2 linked regions of the Cricetulus griseus genome follow. The protein of the gene in region 1 interacts with the protein of each later gene in a pairwise test. Links are inferred from orthologs where the notes say so. Each region holds a gene or a part of one and is shown in the gene's direction. Other genes may lie near its edges. The genes, in order: Tarbp2 and Znf346.

Evidence for each region.
Region 2: the proteins of Tarbp2 (region 1) and Znf346 interact in binary tests that used the Homo sapiens proteins (3 or more experiments, as listed by UniProt). The two-hybrid records come from large-scale screens. The link is inferred for Cricetulus griseus from reciprocal best matches to the Homo sapiens genes TARBP2 and ZNF346.

What each region holds. Positions count from the first base shown.
Region 1 is NC_048595.1:398,892,462-398,901,045, forward strand, and holds the start of Tarbp2 (RISC-loading complex subunit TARBP2), read left to right. Parts: upstream 1-3,825; 5' UTR 3,826-3,966; coding exon 3,967-4,019; intron 4,020-4,129; exon of another isoform or gene 4,130-4,260; intron 4,261-4,547; coding exon 4,548-4,717; intron 4,718-5,825; coding exon 5,826-5,928; intron 5,929-6,454; coding exon 6,455-6,547; intron 6,548-7,057; coding exon 7,058-7,130; intron 7,131-7,316; coding exon 7,317-7,434; intron 7,435-7,749; coding exon 7,750-7,877; intron 7,878-8,194; coding exon 8,195-8,396; intron 8,397-8,528; coding exon 8,529-8,584. UniProt on the Homo sapiens protein: Required for formation of the RNA induced silencing complex (RISC). Component of the RISC loading complex (RLC), also known as the micro-RNA (miRNA) loading complex (miRLC), which is composed of DICER1, AGO2 and TARBP2.
Region 2 is NC_048596.1:274,113,708-274,121,795, forward strand, and holds part of Znf346 (zinc finger protein 346), read left to right. Parts: intron 1-3,135; coding exon 3,136-3,239; intron 3,240-4,168; coding exon 4,169-4,261; intron 4,262-5,924; coding exon 5,925-6,069; intron 6,070-8,088.

The sequences.
Region 1 (8,584 bases):
CAAAGAAGAATTTTTCTTATGTCACCCAGACTGGCCTTAAACTTGCTACTCCTGCCTTTACTACCCCAGTGTAAGGTAAGGGAAGTGAGTCACCACACCAAAGCTTTTCCCAGTGCTAGAAATCAAGCTCAAGGCTTTGTTCATGGCTTCTTCCATGCATGTTAGGAACTCTACCAACTGAGCCACACCCCCAGATACAAAGTTGTGTTTTCTTTTCAAGTTTTCTGAGACAGATTCTATATGTAGCCTTGGCTGCCCTGAAACTTGTGTACACCAGGCTGGTCTTAAATTCACAAAGACCTACTTGTGTCCACCTGCCTCCATTGTGCTGAGATTAAAGACGTGCACCAGCCAACATACTCAATTCTTACTTCCTTTACCTCCTCAAAACACGAGGTAATACTGAAGATACAGGAAGAAAGAGAGGTGGAGAAACAAGAGCTGAAAAAAAAAATACAAAGGAAATGCAGCCTGCCAGGTACAGACCTCAACCAGCTATTTAGGAAGCAAAGGCAAAAGGATTTAATGTTCAAGACCTGACTGGTCAACTTAGTGGCACTCTGTCTCAAAATAAAATTTGTAAAAAAAAGTTGATGATGTAGTTTGGTGGTAGAGAGCTTGCCCGGAACGTGTAAGGCCCTGGGATCAATTCCTGATACCCTGAATAAATAAAGACAGCTGAAGCACAGGGGCTCTGTCCTGGAGCTGCTGTGTTGCCACTCTCCCAATGCACACATGACCAGGCTTTCTAGGGGCAAGTGGGTAAGCTCTCCCAGGCCACCATGTCTTCTGCTGGCATCCTTTCAATAGATTACTTGCGCCCATTCAAGGACTCCCAGAAAAGCTGTGCCCCCAATTTTCTTACTCCTTAGACATGGACAGCAGAGGCAGAAGTGGGCGCTAGAATTCAGGGGCCTCTATCACCTTACCACCACTCCTCCCCAGATCCTCAGAGCAGTGACCGCCTTTGAGAGGGTTTTTGCTACCGTGATGAAGCCTAGGAAATCCTGGGCCACACCTCTTCCACCTCTGTCCACCACTGATGGAGGACTTCATGAGTGATGGACCTTGGGGTCTTCCTGGAAGCCAACAGTTGGCTGGGGCTAACTTGGGGCCCAGATACCTTCACCTCCTTAAATGTTACACAAAAGGGGGAAGGGCTTTTGAACTTGGAAACTTCAATCTCTGGACCCAAGGCCCAGGGAGCAGTTGGTTCCTTCCTTCCCAAAACCTTGCTGCGATTGTAAGCTTGGGATGACCCTCTGGCTGGAAACCAGAGCTCCCAGAACCATGGAGGCAACCCAGAGAATTGGAAGAGAGAGGAGGTTTAGCGTGAGGCACCCACTGTGGCTCCGGGGCCTCATGTGCATGCTCTCCCCGTAGAAAGCCAAAGAGGCAGCAAATAGAGAGCTGCAAGGCTCCTCCCTCCGTTCCTACTACTGCTTATGGAGCCCACCCTCGGCTATCAAGGTTGTTGTAAGCCAAGGAGTTTGGTGAGTGTGTGAAAAAAGGGAGGGGTTTTCTGAAACACCTGACCTGGGAAATAGGTTAGGGAAGCCAGGGAGAGCAGGCTGGAGAGAGAGAGAAAGCCACATACAAATGGGGGAAGGGTGCAACAGCTGGATGGTAGAGAATGCACAGCTGGAAATTAGCGGCATTACAAATGGAAGGGGAGAGGAACCTCGCCAGGGCATGCAGGAATGGGTGCAGCCTAATTTCCAGGTGGAGCATGATAGGTGCAGGTGTGGGGGAGGGGGACAGTGGGAACATTAGGCCTTGCCCTTCCTTTCCTTCCCTGGAGAGGGCCACAACTCTTCCTTCTCCTTCTCTGGGTCTTGAGGGTGAGGAGAAAAGAGGACGTGCTCTTGCCCGCTGTCCTTTAAGTCTTCCCCTGGCCACCTTCACCCTCACGTAATCCACCACAGCTCTGGAGGCTCTTGGTCTCCAAGCTGGGCCGCCGCATCCCTCAGCTTCGCCCCGCTCCTTCCAATCTCCAGGCGTCGGGTCCAGGTCCCCAGTTCCTCCATCCCACAGCCTCAGCATCCGCGAGTCACCTCCTCCCCCACCATGCCACAATTGTATCCCGACTCTCCCTCCACACCAGGATCCCAAGACCCGAACCCATTTCTGCCCCCCACCCCCACAACTCGCCCAGGCTCTCACCTCGGGGGCTCCGCGGCCGCAGCACAAAAGGCGGCGCTGCAGCAGCTCGGCTCCGGATGCTGCTCCCGCCTCCTCCTCCTCTTTCCCTCCTCCCCCCGTTGCCCTCCACCAGACCCGGGGCGCTGTCACCGGCGATGCTCGTGTGGAGCGCAGGTGCACGGGTGTCAGCCCCAGCTTTTGCCCCCCACCCCCTACTCTAAGCCCCGTCCCCTCTCGACTTGAACTCCCGCTCCTTGCAAGGCCCCCGCCCCTGGCCCCCCGGGACGGACACGCCCTGAGCGGGGGATGCTGCGCTGGAGCCGCCGGCCTCTTAAAGGAGCCCACGGCTGCCATCCGGCGCGCTCCAGGCTTGTTCCTGGCTCGCGAGGCTCTGTGCCTCCTTCCTGGAGGTGTCCTTCGGCAGTCCCACTTTGGGCCTCATGCAGATTCTGTAAGAACCCCTGGTGACCTGTCTTACAGACTCTTTCCTACACCCCGAGAGAGCAGCTCCTCAGATAGCACACACAACGCTCTGGCGTTGGTCCCTTCTCATACCAAAGTCGCCAGCTGGTCTGCCTGCCCTTGTCACTGCTTCTGTTTCACCCAGTCGTGCGGCCTTTCCCACTTCAGAGCTCCTGGATGACCCCTGATTATCACCCCAAGATTCCTCCACCTCCAGCCCCCATCCCCTCTTAGCAAGACATCTCTTCCTAGACCCGTTCTGAAAACACTCTTTGAATCACGTTTTTCGTGGTATCTGTCTCTTTCTTCCTCTATCCAAGGTCACAAGATTTCCCCCACATTCTGCACTCTGGTGGTATCAAGACTTTGGGGATCCAAAAGTACTTGTTTAGCTCTGCGCGTAATTTAGTTCGTTAATTACTCTCGTGTTCTTTCAGTTGAGGCTACAAAACACCGCAGAAGGTACATCTAATGATTCTCGGGCCCTAGATTCCCGGAGAGTTAAAGAAAGGTTCAGTAGGGCCTATTTAAGGAGTAGCAAACCCTTACAGGCTGCGTGCAGTTAATGAAGAGAGGCGAAGGACAAGACACACACACACACACCACACACACACAAAAGCAGCAGGATTTTTGACACGAGGCCCGAGGGGCCTGGCACTCACACTGGTGCCTGGGGAGACAGTGTCTGAAAAAAAACTTACAACAACCCCAGAGCTCTGGGGCGGGGGCGGCCAGGTAAGGCCCACCCTCTGGGGCAGCAAAAGAAACACGCCGGCAGCCTCCTCCGCCAATCACAACCCTTCCTCAGGAAGCCTATCCCTTTCCCCGTCCCCGCCCTCTGGGCCAGATGACCAATCGAAAAGCGCCTTGGGAAGTCGCTCTCGGCATTGCCGATTAAGCCGCGAAGCCTGCGGCGGCGACCGGACGGCGCGCGGGCACCTGGGCTCTGTAGTTCTCTGAGGGTGGCATGCCTTACCGCCCCGCCCCCAGCCGCCTCCACCCCGTTAGTACGCATGCTCACAGTCTCGGCCTGGGAGGAGGCAGTGCGCAAGGAAGAAGGCGGGACGACATTAGAAAACTAAAACCACTGGTAGGTTGAGAAGCTTCCGTGGAGGATCCGCTCCTCCCAGAGGGCGGCGCAGGCGCCCGGGCGAGCCACGCGGAGAGTTGTGGGGCGGGTAGCTCGACTCCTGATGAAGACACAAGGAGTCGGATGGGAGGGGGACTCCAGATCCCAGCATGCCCCGCGGCGGGCCCTACCGGCCGCGACTCCGGGCTTGGCCCCGGCCCTAGCTCGTCGGCGGTGTACTGGGGCGCGTGGAGGCTGTAGTCACGGTGGCGCCCGCGGGGACGGAGGAGGGAATGAGTGAAGAGGAGCAGGGCTCCGGCACTACCACAGGCTGCGGGCTGCCCAGGTGAGCTGCCTAATTTCCATTCCTGCAGGACGAAAAGTGTGAGGCGGTGCGGAGGGTAGCGGCGCAGCCCCAGCATGCACCTGGCCTGAGGGTTGTTCCCAGCAAGCACTGGGGTAGTGGGCAGAGGTTCCCGGCATGCACTGGGTCAGTGGCCACCGCCTCCAGCTCTAGTTTGGGGTTGGCTTGATTCCCAGACTGCACTGGAGCCTTACGCTTTATGCCCTGATGTTCAGTGCGTTTGGTGGGTACTGGGTTCCCGAATTCCATTGTGCCAGGGGGAAATGCACGTCCAACCAGCACTACGGCACAGGCTCCCTCGCCTTAACTGAGAACAGTACAGTTTCCACTTGCCTTGGGGTAGAGGACCTTGCTTTCCCTCCTGCAACTTAACTGTTAGCCCAGTCAATGGATGCTATACTGCCTGGGGATCCATGGACCCAGTAATGTGCTAGGTCTAATGTGACAGTGCTTGGTCAGGTGGGTGCCGAAAGGGGAAGTGTGATATTGGTGTGTGCCCCTCCCTCCCAGCATAGAGCAAATGCTGGCCGCCAACCCGGGCAAGACCCCGATCAGCCTTCTTCAGGAGTATGGGACCAGAATAGGAAAGACGCCCGTGTACGACCTTCTCAAAGCCGAGGGCCAAGCCCATCAGCCTAATTTCACCTTCCGGGTCACCGTTGGCGACACCAGCTGCACTGGTGAGGAAGGCTTGGGCAGCCTGGCTGGGGTGTGCATTCACAGGGCCCGTGGCTTAATATCGTGGGATCGCTTCACCACAGTCCTCTCCTTTAAGGCCAGGGAGGGATGGAGAGGTTTCAGGGGAAAAACCACTGCCTGAAGGTGGATAGGACCCGAGAGACTCACTGGTGAGAACAGGAAATGTCACAGGAATTTGCTGCTCTTACCACCTTAGATGAAAAGTAGATGAGACACTGAACTACCCATGGGTATTTGGGGGAGCAAACACACACTTTGCTGGCCTCTTGACCCATATTGACCATAGAGGGCTTAGTATCAGAAATTAAATGACTGGCCCTAATAAGTGGCAGAGTAGAGCTTTGACTTTAGAACTGATCCTTTGTTGTCTCTATTGCTTATTTGTTGAGGGAAAAGAAAGTGCTTTTGCAGAGAAAAGGAAGACACCTCCCCTCTCCCCAGTGTTGGAGCTCAAATCCTGCCTTACATGACTTAATTATGGGAGATAATTGAAAGCTAAGGGCTGCTCTAGGCCCATTTATATTGTGATAAAACACCTTAACTAAAGCAGCATAGGGGAGGAAAGGCTTGATTGGTTTACAGTCATCATTGTGGGGAAGGTATCCACAAAGCAGAGAGCAAAGAGAATAAACTCATCCTTGCTGCCTGCTTGCTGTTCCACACAGCATTACAGCTGACCAAGGCACTTACTTCACAGCCACAGAAGCACAGCGGAACAATGGCAGATGCCCAGTGCTTCCACATTCAGGGCCACCTGCCTTGCAAGGGATGGTACCACAATAGTTGAGCATTTCTACCTCAATTAACAATCAAGACAGTCTCCCACAGACATGTTCGAAGGCCAGTCTGAGCTAGGCAATTCCTCAATAAAGGCTCTCCTTTCATATGATCCGAGGTTGTGCCAAGTTGACAGTTAAAACTAACTAGGACAAAGACTATTTGAGCAGTCAGCAGAGCCCTTCTAGTCTGGCAGGGGAGGTTGGTAAGCGAGCTGTTCAATCCCTTGGCTGTAAGGAGAGAGGCTGTGGGGGCTGGTTTCTCTGCTGTCCTGCTGGTGACCTCCAGTATTGCCCACACCCCTTTTCTTAGGTCAGGGCCCCAGCAAGAAGGCAGCCAAGCACAAGGCAGCTGAGGTGGCCCTCAAACACCTCAAAGGGGGGAGCATGCTGGAACCAGCCCTGGAGGACAGCAGGTGAGGGAGGAACAGTCAAGGGACACTAGAAGCCCTGCTGAGAACCAGGCCTCCTCACCACCTACTTCTCTTCCTAATCCAGGCCTGGTGACTCATGGCCACCCTGACCTGGCCCCTTCCTGAGAATTTCCTCTAGGGTGCTTCTAGGGTAATAGCCCCTTTGATGGGTGGTGGCTACTCTGGGCCCGGGGTAAGCCATAGAGGGTGGAGACTAAGGCTGATAAGGCTGATGGTCCCAAAACGCCCCCTTTCTAGCCACATGACTTTCCCTCTTCTACATTCAGGTTGGAGCTTGTTGGGTAGGAAGAAATTCTGTTTTCTGAGCCCTACCCCTACCCCACCCTCAGTGCTTTTGAGCCAGTGTGGGTCAGCAGAGGATCCCAGGAGGAAGAGCTGTTGCTGAGGCTCTCTTGAGTCTAGATCAGGGGGAAGGGATTCTCTCAGGGGATGGAAAGGTCAGAAAGACCTCATACTCTCATTCCCTTCTACATGGGTGTGAATCCAAGGCTCCCTTCCCCTTGGGAAGTTCTTTTTCTCTCCTAGAGTCTTCACTGCCCGAGGACACTCCTGTCATTGCTGCTGAAGTTGCTGCCCCTGTTCCATCTGCTATACTAACCAGGTACCTTGAGTTCCCTGACATCTCGGAGGGAGGCAGGCCCCTAGCCTCATAGCACTTGGACCCAGGCAGGTTAGGATGAGGAAGTCTTTAAGTAAACACAGAATGGAAGAATTGAAAAAAATTTGTACCAGCTCATTGGTAAGCTTGAGATAGGTAATTTATGATATTTAAATAGCCATGTGAAGGATGTTGGATTGTTCAAACATTTTATAGGCTCCATTTTCTGAGTTGGTTACAGCAGGTTCTGTGTTTAAGACCCAGAAGGTACTTCCAGGATTAGCTGTACAGACCCTTTACCTCTGTCATAGGGATACTGCTGAAGTATTTCCACATCAAAATGCTCCTGGGAACTAGCAGGGGCTAGCTTCATGGGGGGAGATATTTGGACAGATATAGCTGCCTGCTGGGTGGGAAAATTGGGAGATGGTGGTAGTGGCTGGTACTCGAGCCCATGACCAGCCCAGAAGAACCCGTTTTCCTCAGCATTGGTCTGGGCTCTTTTTCCTTCAGGAGCCCTCCCATGGAGATGCAGCCCCCTGTCTCTCCTCAGCAGTCTGAGTGCAACCCTGTTGGTGCTCTACAGGTGTGCCTCGTCTTCTGGTTCTCGTGTGCTGTCTTCTCTGGACTAGGGCTGTGAGGCATGGGTGTGTGTGCTGTGGGAGGGGTGATTATCCTTCTCACCCAAAGACTGAGGCTCCTGGGTAGAAGGCCATGTGGCTAAGGAGCCTTTCCTCGCTCATCCTTGGGCTCCCTATGTCTCCCTTTCAAGGAACTTGTGGTGCAAAAAGGCTGGCGTTTGCCAGAGTACATGGTGACCCAGGAGTCTGGGCCTGCTCACCGCAAAGAATTCACCATGACCTGCCGAGTGGAGCGCTTCATTGAAATTGGTAACGGGACAGTGGGGCTTACTTATCATCTGTTTCTGCCACACTCTGACCCTGAGCATAAGGTGCTCCTTTGTCTAGCTGTGTTCTATCCCAGCTTTCTTTGCTTTGCTCAGCTCTTACTCCCTGTGTCTTCCTTGCCCCTGCCTATCTTTCCCCCTCTTTCTGGCCCACCAGCTTCTCAGTTAAAAGGACAGGCCTTCAGCTCCTCTTTACAGTGATACCCCATTGAGGGACCTTTAATCTAAGAATAACTTGGAGGGGAAGCATTGGTCTGTTAAAAATCCCCAAGTCCAGCAATCCCTTCCCCACACTCAGGCAGTGGCACTTCCAAAAAACTGGCAAAGCGTAATGCAGCAGCTAAAATGCTGCTTCGAGTGCACACAGTACCCCTGGACGCCCGGGATGGCAACGAGGCAGAACCTGATGACGATCATTTTTCCATTGTAAGTGGATTGTGTGGGCTTTCCATGTGGTTCACACTACAGGACATGGTGGGGACTTGGTTGGGTCTGTGATTTGGAAGTGAGTCTGGCCTGCTTCTTACCAAATCCCAGGGCTTCTTGAACTTGTGAGCCCAGCAGTCGCCTCAACCTGTTCTGTACTTACTGGTGAAAGTTTGCCCAGGGCAAAGCCCTGTAGGCAACTTTGACTGGGGTGAGGAAGCCTGAGTGGCCACTGAAGCAGGTTGCAGGGTTAGAGTGTGGGAGCCAGAGGCTTAGGCCCCACAGTCCTTACCACTTTCTCACTCTCGTCTCACTAGGGGGTGAGCTCCCGCCTGGATGGGCTTCGGAACCGGGGGCCAGGCTGCACCTGGGATTCCCTGCGCAATTCTGTGGGAGAAAAGATCCTGTCCCTTCGGAGCTGCTCTGTGGGCTCTCTAGGGACTCTGGGCTCTGCCTGCTGCAGTGTCCTCAGTGAGCTCTCTGAGGAGCAGGCTTTCCATGTCAGCTACCTGGACATTGGTATGGCCAGCTGGGGGATTGGGGGTGGAGGAGGCAGGACCAGATCAAGTATAAAGGGGTTAGGAGATGGGTGACATACACCCTATTTGGTGCCCCTCCCCCATTGCCTCCCTCTTCTTTCTTGGTTTCTAGAAGAACTGAGCTTGAGTGGGCTCTGCCAGTGCCTAGTGGAACTGTCCACCCAGCCA
Region 2 (8,088 bases), on another chromosome or scaffold:
AGTACCTCAGAAAGACCAGCCTGTGCTCTTAACCCTTGAGCCCCTGAGTTCTCCTTTTGTCAAGTGGGTTCCAGGAATAAAGTCAGGTAGTCCTGTTTGGCAGTAAGTACCTTTACTTCCTGGGCCATTTCATTAGCCCTACATTTTTTTAAAGATTTATTTATTTATGTATTTATGTATATGGGCACTTTATCTGCATGTACATCTGCACACCAGAAGAGGGCATCAGGCAGCTGTGAGCCACCATGTGGTTGCTGGGAACTGAACTCAGGACCTTTGGAAGAGCAGCCAGTGCTCTTAACCACTGAGCCATCTCTCCACCCCCCAGTCCTACATTTTCTATAATCATTTATTTAGCTAACTTCATAGCTTAGCTATGGCAAATTATGCCACCTTACATATGAATTCTCCAGTATTTGGGCAAGCTATTTTATTTAATTTTTTAAGGGACTCGTTCTTTGTTTCAATAGACTCTTGTCAATATTTTGTATCAAAATAGTTGCACTTGGAGCTGGAGAGATGGCTCAGTAGTTAAGTACTGTCTTGCTCTTCCAGAGGACTTGATTTTGGTTACCAGCACCCATACCATGTGGCTCTCAACTGCTGAGGTACCTGGGTCACACTCATGTTCTCACAGACAGACACACAAACACCACAATTAAAAATAGATCAAAGAAAAAAAAACAGAAGACAAGTGCACTATGATGTTCTCTTTCTCCAAAGAGAGAAAAATTCACCCACTGCCAAAGCTTTCACAGACTCCCGGGAGCAGCTCTGAAAGGTCCACACACTGCCAGCCATGGCCATAGGAGGCTGGCCAGAGAAAGTCCCCCAAAACAACGGTATAAAATAACGTAAACATTCTTAAGTTTTACATATGAGCCGTGAATGGTTTCTCAGCAGTGGTTGACCCGAAGTGCAGTGGATGACACTGGTAGAGAAAGCAGCTGCAGAGGGTGATGAGTTCACACAGCCAATGATGACTTGGTGGCGAAGACTCGTTCCTGTGTGTGTGTGTGTGTGTGTGTGTGTGTGTGTGTGTGTGTGCGTGCGCGCAAGCGCGCTCGCATGCACTCGTGTGTGTTCATACAGCCGACGACTCAGTGGCAAAAGCTCTTTCCTCTGTGTGTGTCCATCTGTCTGCCTCGCCCCCCCCCCCCCCGTCTGTCTGCCTCAGAAGGAGAGTACTGAGTGGTCACCTTAGCATTAAGAGGCACACGATCCATTTTGTGAGCAGGGGGAAAAGGGGGTAGAGACAAGTTTTGTCTCAGAGCTGGGGCTGGATGGTAGAAAGCTTACCTAACACTTCAGGTCCCTATGCATTGGGAAGTAGGGATGTCAACAAGTCTAACCATCTTGATTTGGTCACGTCTGATTTAAAAAGTTAAAAGTAGGGACTGGAGAGATGGCTCAGAGGTTAAGAGCATTGGCTGCTCTTCCAGAGGTCCTGAGTTCAATTCCCAGCAACCACATGGTGGCTCACAACCATCTGTGATGACATCTGGCTCCCTCTTCTGGCCTGTAGGCATACATGCAGGCAGAACAATGTATACAAAATAAATAAATAAATCTTCTTTTAAAAAAAAAAAAAGTTAAAAGTAAAGGTGAAGTTGTTCAAAGACACCTAAAACTGAAAACCTCCACATCTGGGTACTGGTTTTTGGTTGGGCCAGCTTCTTAGAAACCCTTTCTGTTCAGCTAGGACTTCATACAGAGCATCAGGGTTTCCTGTATCGGGATCCTTTCCTGGACTCTCAGGAATGCAGGCCCATGCTTGTGTTCTTCCTCTATGGAGGCCAGTACACACTAGGCCGAAAGGTTACCTTCCAGCAGTGAGAAGCAATTGGATTGCTGCTTTCACACTGTGCAGTTACTTGGAATGGCTGCTACTATCGGGTGTGGTGCCCTGTGCCTTTAATCCAACACTCAGAGGCAGAAGCAGGCTTGGCTCTGTGAGTCTAGGCCAACCTGATGTGTACATAGCAAGTTCCAGGGCACTTTAAAGCACTGGCTGCTCTGGCAAAGTATCCAGGTTTGATTTCGGGAATCCACTTGGCAATCCACAACTGCCTCTAACTCCATTTCCCTGGGACCCAATGCCCTTTTCTGGCCTCCATGGCTCAGACATGCATGAAAGCAAAATACCCATACACATGAAATAAAGTAATTTTTTAAACTCAATTATAGAATTATCTAATAAGGGAAGCACATCCATGTCTTGGGTGTGTTTTTTAGTTAGGGATTCCATTACTGTGAAGAGACACCATTACCACAGCCAACTATTATAAAGGAAAAATATTTAATTGGGTTGGCTGACGTCTTCAGAGGTTCAGTCCATTACCATCATGGTACAGCGTGGCAGCGTGCAAACAGACAGACACGGTGCTGGTTCCATCTTGATCAGAAGGCAACAGGAAGTGGACTGCCTTCACTGGGTGTGGCTTGAGCATTAGTGAGACCCTGAAGCCTGCCTCCACAGTGACATACTTCCTCCAACAAGGCCACACCTCTTAATAGTGCCATTCCCTCTGGGGGCCATTTCCTTTGAAGCCACCATAGTGTGTATTGTCCTTTTCCTAAATGGCTCTCTCTCCTTCGGTCTACATTAAAACTGCTATTAATGTTATTGGAGACAGGAGCTCACTATATAGCCCTGCACAGCCTGGTGTGTAAGCCCCACACTCACTCTGGAGACCAGGCTGGCCTTGTGCTCAGAGATTCACCTGCCTCTGCCACTTGAGTGTTGTTATTAAAGGTGTGCATCTCTTCATGCTCCTTTAAAACTGCTTCATAAGAAGTCCTCAGCTCCACATTGTTTTAAAGGGTTAACGTGAATGGGGGTGTGACCCTGTAGTCACACCTACTAAGGCAGAAGGATCCCTTGAGCCAGGAATTCTTGCGAAGCGTGGGGCATCTCTCCTAACAGCCATGTGAGACTAGGTAAAGAACACTGGCCTATATGAAGGAAGTCACAATGCAGTTGGTTTGCAAGCACAGCATGAGTCATGGCTTGGTGCGAGGAAGAGCGGAGATGTGCCTGTGTGCTGGTCTGGGCTCCATCATTGGTGCCTGTGTTTGGGAGAGACCAGAGGCAGTGCTGTTGGACTCACCTGCATGATCTCTTTCCCTCCACAGTGGAGTACATGATCCAGAAGAACCAGTGTCTCTTCACCAGCACCCAGTGCAAAGTCTGCTGCGCCATGCTGATCTCTGAGTCCCAGAAGCTGGCACACTACCAGGTAGGCCTCTATCATAGCCATGCTTGCCTTGCCGTCCAGTGCCAGCCCTCTCCTCTCCTGCCTCACACAGTCTTCCATAGCGACCACATGTTTCCTTCATGCATGTTTGCTTGGGACGTGAAGTGAACTTAATTTCTGTGAGTCTCATCTCTCCCGACCAAATCAGGATCAAATGTGGAAAGAATGACTTTTGGCTTTACGTACATCTGAGTTTGAAGCCAACTCTGTTATGCTATCTTATAAGCAGGAAGTTTCACCATGATTGGCCTGAGCTTTTCCATGTGTACAATAGACAACAGTATTCTCATAGATTTTCGAAGGTTAAATGTGATAGCCTGTAGAGGGGCCTACTACATAATAGGAACTCAGCAAATGAGTTTTCTTCCCCCATTTCTTCAGAATCTGGTGTGTCATGGCTGCCCTCTCTGTGAAATGGATGGTGAGAATCTGGTGTGTCATGGCTGCCCTCTCTGTGAAATGGATGGTGAGAATCTGGTATGTCACGGCTGCCCTCTCTGTGAAATGGATGGTGAGAATCTGGTGTGTCACGGCTGCCCTCTCTGTGAAATGGGTGGTGAGAATCTGGTATGTCACGGCTGCCCTCTCTGTGAAATGGATGGTGAGAATCTGGTGTGTCACGGCTGCCCTCTCTGTGAAATGGGTGGTGAGAATCTGGTGTATTATGGCTGCCCTCTCTGTGAAATGGGTGGTGAGAATCTGGTGTGTCACGGCTGCCCTCTCTGTGAAATGGATGGTGAGAATCTGGTATGTCACGGCTGCCCTCTCTGTGAAATGGACAGTGAGAATTTGGTGTGTCATGGCTGCCCTCTCTGTGAAATGGACGGTGAGAATCTGGTGTGTCATGGCTGCCCTCTCTGTGAAATGATTGGCCTTTGACTATCTTTGATCTTTCTCTTGGGTTCTTGCAGAGCAAAAAACATGCCAACAAAGTGAAGAGATACCTAGCAATCCATGGAATGGAGACACTAAAAGGGGAGGTGAAGAGACTCGACTCAGATCAGGTAATGTAGCTGCATTGTTGAGCCTGCTTGCATCCCAAGCAGATTGGTTTGTTGTGAGCACAGGCTTTGATTCTGACTGCCTTGGCTGCCAGTCTCAGCCCTGTTGTCTAACTTGGGCAAGTCTATGACTCCGAGCCTTGATTTCTTCCTCTGTTAAAAACAGGAATACTCTGAACATGGTGGTGTGTACATGTGATGTGACCAAGCACTTGAAGGTAGAGGCAGGAAGATGATTAGTTGAAGGTTGTCTTCCGCTGCATAGCAAGTTTGAGGCCAACCTGAGCTACAATGAGAGAATGTCTCAAAACAAACAAAAAAGACCATTATAGCTACCTTGGGGGGGGGGTTGTAAGTTGAGAAAATATTTATAAAACAGCACCAGACCCTGAATCTGTCATACAGTAGTGGTTCAGTAAATAGAATCATTCATTGTTCTGCTTTGCCACCCAGAGGGTTATTGAAGCAGAGCAAGAGAGGACATAGAGAGATGCCCCGGCGCTCATTTTCTTTAGCTGTGGGGAAAACAGACTCTCAGCATTTGGCCTGAACAATCAAGGAAAATAAATACCTCCTCTGATTAGAAAGCAATTACGTTTACTTTTTATCTCAGAATTACTATAAGAATTACGCTGGAACAAGCTGTAATTCCTTGAGTGTACTGTGACTTTCAAAGTCACTTAACCTCTCTGAGATTCACTCATAAAGATGATCTTGCCTCTTTAGTATTAGGAAGTAAAGTTTTAGTCCCCAGGAAACGCTCTATAAGTAGGAGGTTACTCTCCAGACTGCATTTCTGCTACAGTGGCCAGGGGTTTAAAGGGACCTCGCTTCCCCTCGAGAAATCACTTCCAAGTGGCCCTGGTGGCTTGGACCCAAAAAGGAAAGACCATTTCTCCTCTTTGCACTTCAGTTTTTCAGATGACTGAGTGACTCAGATGAGACCACAGCACCCACCACCAGCTAGGAATTACTAGACTCAAAATGTCTGCAGTTCAAAGGTTGAGAAATGTTGAAGAAACAGCTTATTCAGAGGACAGGCTTTTCGGGAAGATTAAAATACACTTTCTAGCATAACCATAGTAACAAATGGAACCTGATAACAAACTTGTGCTAAAACCCCTGGGTTTGTACTGTGTGCTCGGCACAATAGAGTACAGGATAGTTGGCAAAAATAAGTCAAGTTGTCCACACCCAGCACTGCACTTGAGCTTGCATAAAAGTCTCCTAAGCTGTTCCACTGTCCGTTCAGAGTGACAGAGGGTGTAATAGAAATCTGATAGACTTTGGGAATTCAGCTGGGGATCGAGGTTGATTCTTCCTGCATATACATAGGAGGGGGCTTGGTGCGTGTTCAGTTGGTTTTTGGGTTTTTTTTTTTTTTTTTTTTTTTTTTTTTTAGTGAAAGTCATTGAAGGCTGATAGTAGACCTAATGCCAGGCAGGAAGGTGGAGGAACATTCTAGCCAGTAGGGATAAACCAAGCAAAGCAAGGAAGGAACAGAATAAAATGGGAAGTCGTGCTAGAACCTGACAGGGAGCAGCTGGGGAAGACTGTTGAGGTGTGTTGGGTCTTAAATGTCCACCAGGCCACGGGCAGGGGAAACGTTGGAGGTTTTCTGGATGCGCAGTGGCGTGATCAGACCTGTGTTCTCTCTCCCAACCAGAAGAGCAGCAGAAGCAAAGACAAGAACCACTGCTGCCCCATCTGTAACATGACCTTTTCCTCCCCTGTTGTGGCTCAGTCGCACTACCTGGGGAAGACCCACGCAAAGAACTTAAGGCTGAAGCAGCAGTCCACTAAGGGGGCAGGTACTGGTTTCCTGAGTAGTGCTCTTGGGACCCCTCTCATCCTCGGGGCACCAATGGCAGGCAGTGCTTCAGAATGCTCACTGAGGCCTCAGACTTGGAGAGGTTGCTTTTAAGAGCCCTGAAAAATCCACAAAAGAGTTGGGATGTAACTCATTTGGTAGAATACCTATGAGTTCTAATGTTCCTAATGTTCACAAAGGTTTGGCTTTCATCCCCAGCCTCACATAAGCCAGATGTGGTGCACACCTGTAATCTCAGCACTCAGGAGGTGGAGGCAGGAAAATTAGAAGTTCAAGGTCATCCTCAGCTACATAGGGAGTTTGAGGCCAACCTTTGCTAGACCCTGCTTCACTGTAATTCGGCCTTAGACTTGGGTTCACTTTACTTCCATTTGTGTTGTTCTCGAAGATTTTCTGTAGAAGCTTCTTAGCCCCAGCTTTTGTCCTGACCAGTAATTGTAAATCAGGAGTGCCAAAGGCCGACACACACTGTGAGCATTCTGTCACTTGCCTCTCCTACTACCACCCACCTGCTCTGACTATTAAGTGTTGCTAGTTGACCGCTAATTCCCCATCTTTCTCATGGGCTGAGGTTATGCCCTGCTCACTTTGACCCACAAAAGCTTCCTGTTCTCAAGGCAGGGGGCTAGCCTTCAAAACAGGACATGCTGTGTTGTCCAGCAAGCTGTTAACAGCTGCTGTGAATCCATTCCCCAGCACTGACTTCACAGTTAGCCTCCTTAACCCTGTCACTGTTGGTCCAGCCTTCACTTTCATCTTGAATCCTGAGGTTTTTAACCTAGGCTAGCTGCAATTAGTCAAAAGTGGGAGGCCTTTGATATCTCTCTCTCTCTCTCTCTCTCTCTCTCTCTCTCTCTCTCTCTCTCTCTCTCTCTTCTCCCCTCTCTGTCCTCTCTCTTCTCTCTCTCTCTCTGTGTGTGTGTGTGTGTGTGTGTGTATGTATGTGTGTGTGTGTGTGTGTGCGCGCGCGCGCGCGCGCACAAGTGCGCGCATGCGTTGTCTAATTTGGGTCAAGACCACACTATTGATAGAACTTTTGATCCTTTTGTTTTGCCTGCGTCACTGAAACAAGACAGTGGTGTTTTAGAAGGTTTTGAAGATAAGATAGAAAAATGTACTCATAATTATCCACTCTAATCATATCCAAATCTAGTTACCCAGGGTATGAAACAGAATATAGACTTTGAAGTCAGAACAGCACAGAGTTAACTTCTGGCGCTTTTACTTACATTTGTGCCTGAGTTCCTGCACCTGTGAAGCAACAGCACCATCTGCTTCTGGACCACGCAAAGACAAATAAAAGCCACTGGACAGCGAGGAGTAATAACACACACCTCAAATCCCAGCACTTGGGAAGTGGAGGCAAGAAGATCAGGAGTTCAGTGCCATCCTTGGCTATAAGTTTGAGACCACCCTGGCCTATATGGCACCCAAAAAAATAATAAGAGGCAACCCCCCCCCAAAAAAAAAGTCTAGGATATGGCAGATACTCACTAAACAACAGCTGTTGTTACTATTGTTGTCACCATTAAAAAGCCAGTGAGTGAAATCCCCTCATGAAATGTAGTCATTGGTCAGGAAGCCACTATCTCGAGCAGGGTTCTCGGCCTTCCTGACCCTGCAACTCTTGACCGTGATTCCTCATGGTGTGGCACCCCCAGCCATAAAATTATTTTTGTTGCTGCATCATAACTGTAATTTTCCTACTGTTGTGAATTATAGTGTAAATATCGGCTTTCTGATGGTCTTAGGCAACCCCTGTGAAAGTCATTTGACCCGCCCCCAAAGGGGTCGCGACCCCCAGGTTGAGAACTGCTGATCTAGAGTGCGCCACTGACCGTGCTTATGGTTGAATTGGTAACTTAGATGAGGACTGATTGATCTTTGCCTATAAAGTGAGGGCTGATAACAGCAATAGCACCACAATGTTAAACATTAGGCCAAGGAAAATTCTCTTAAGAACTGAATTTGTAATGTCATAGACATAGCTTCCCACAAG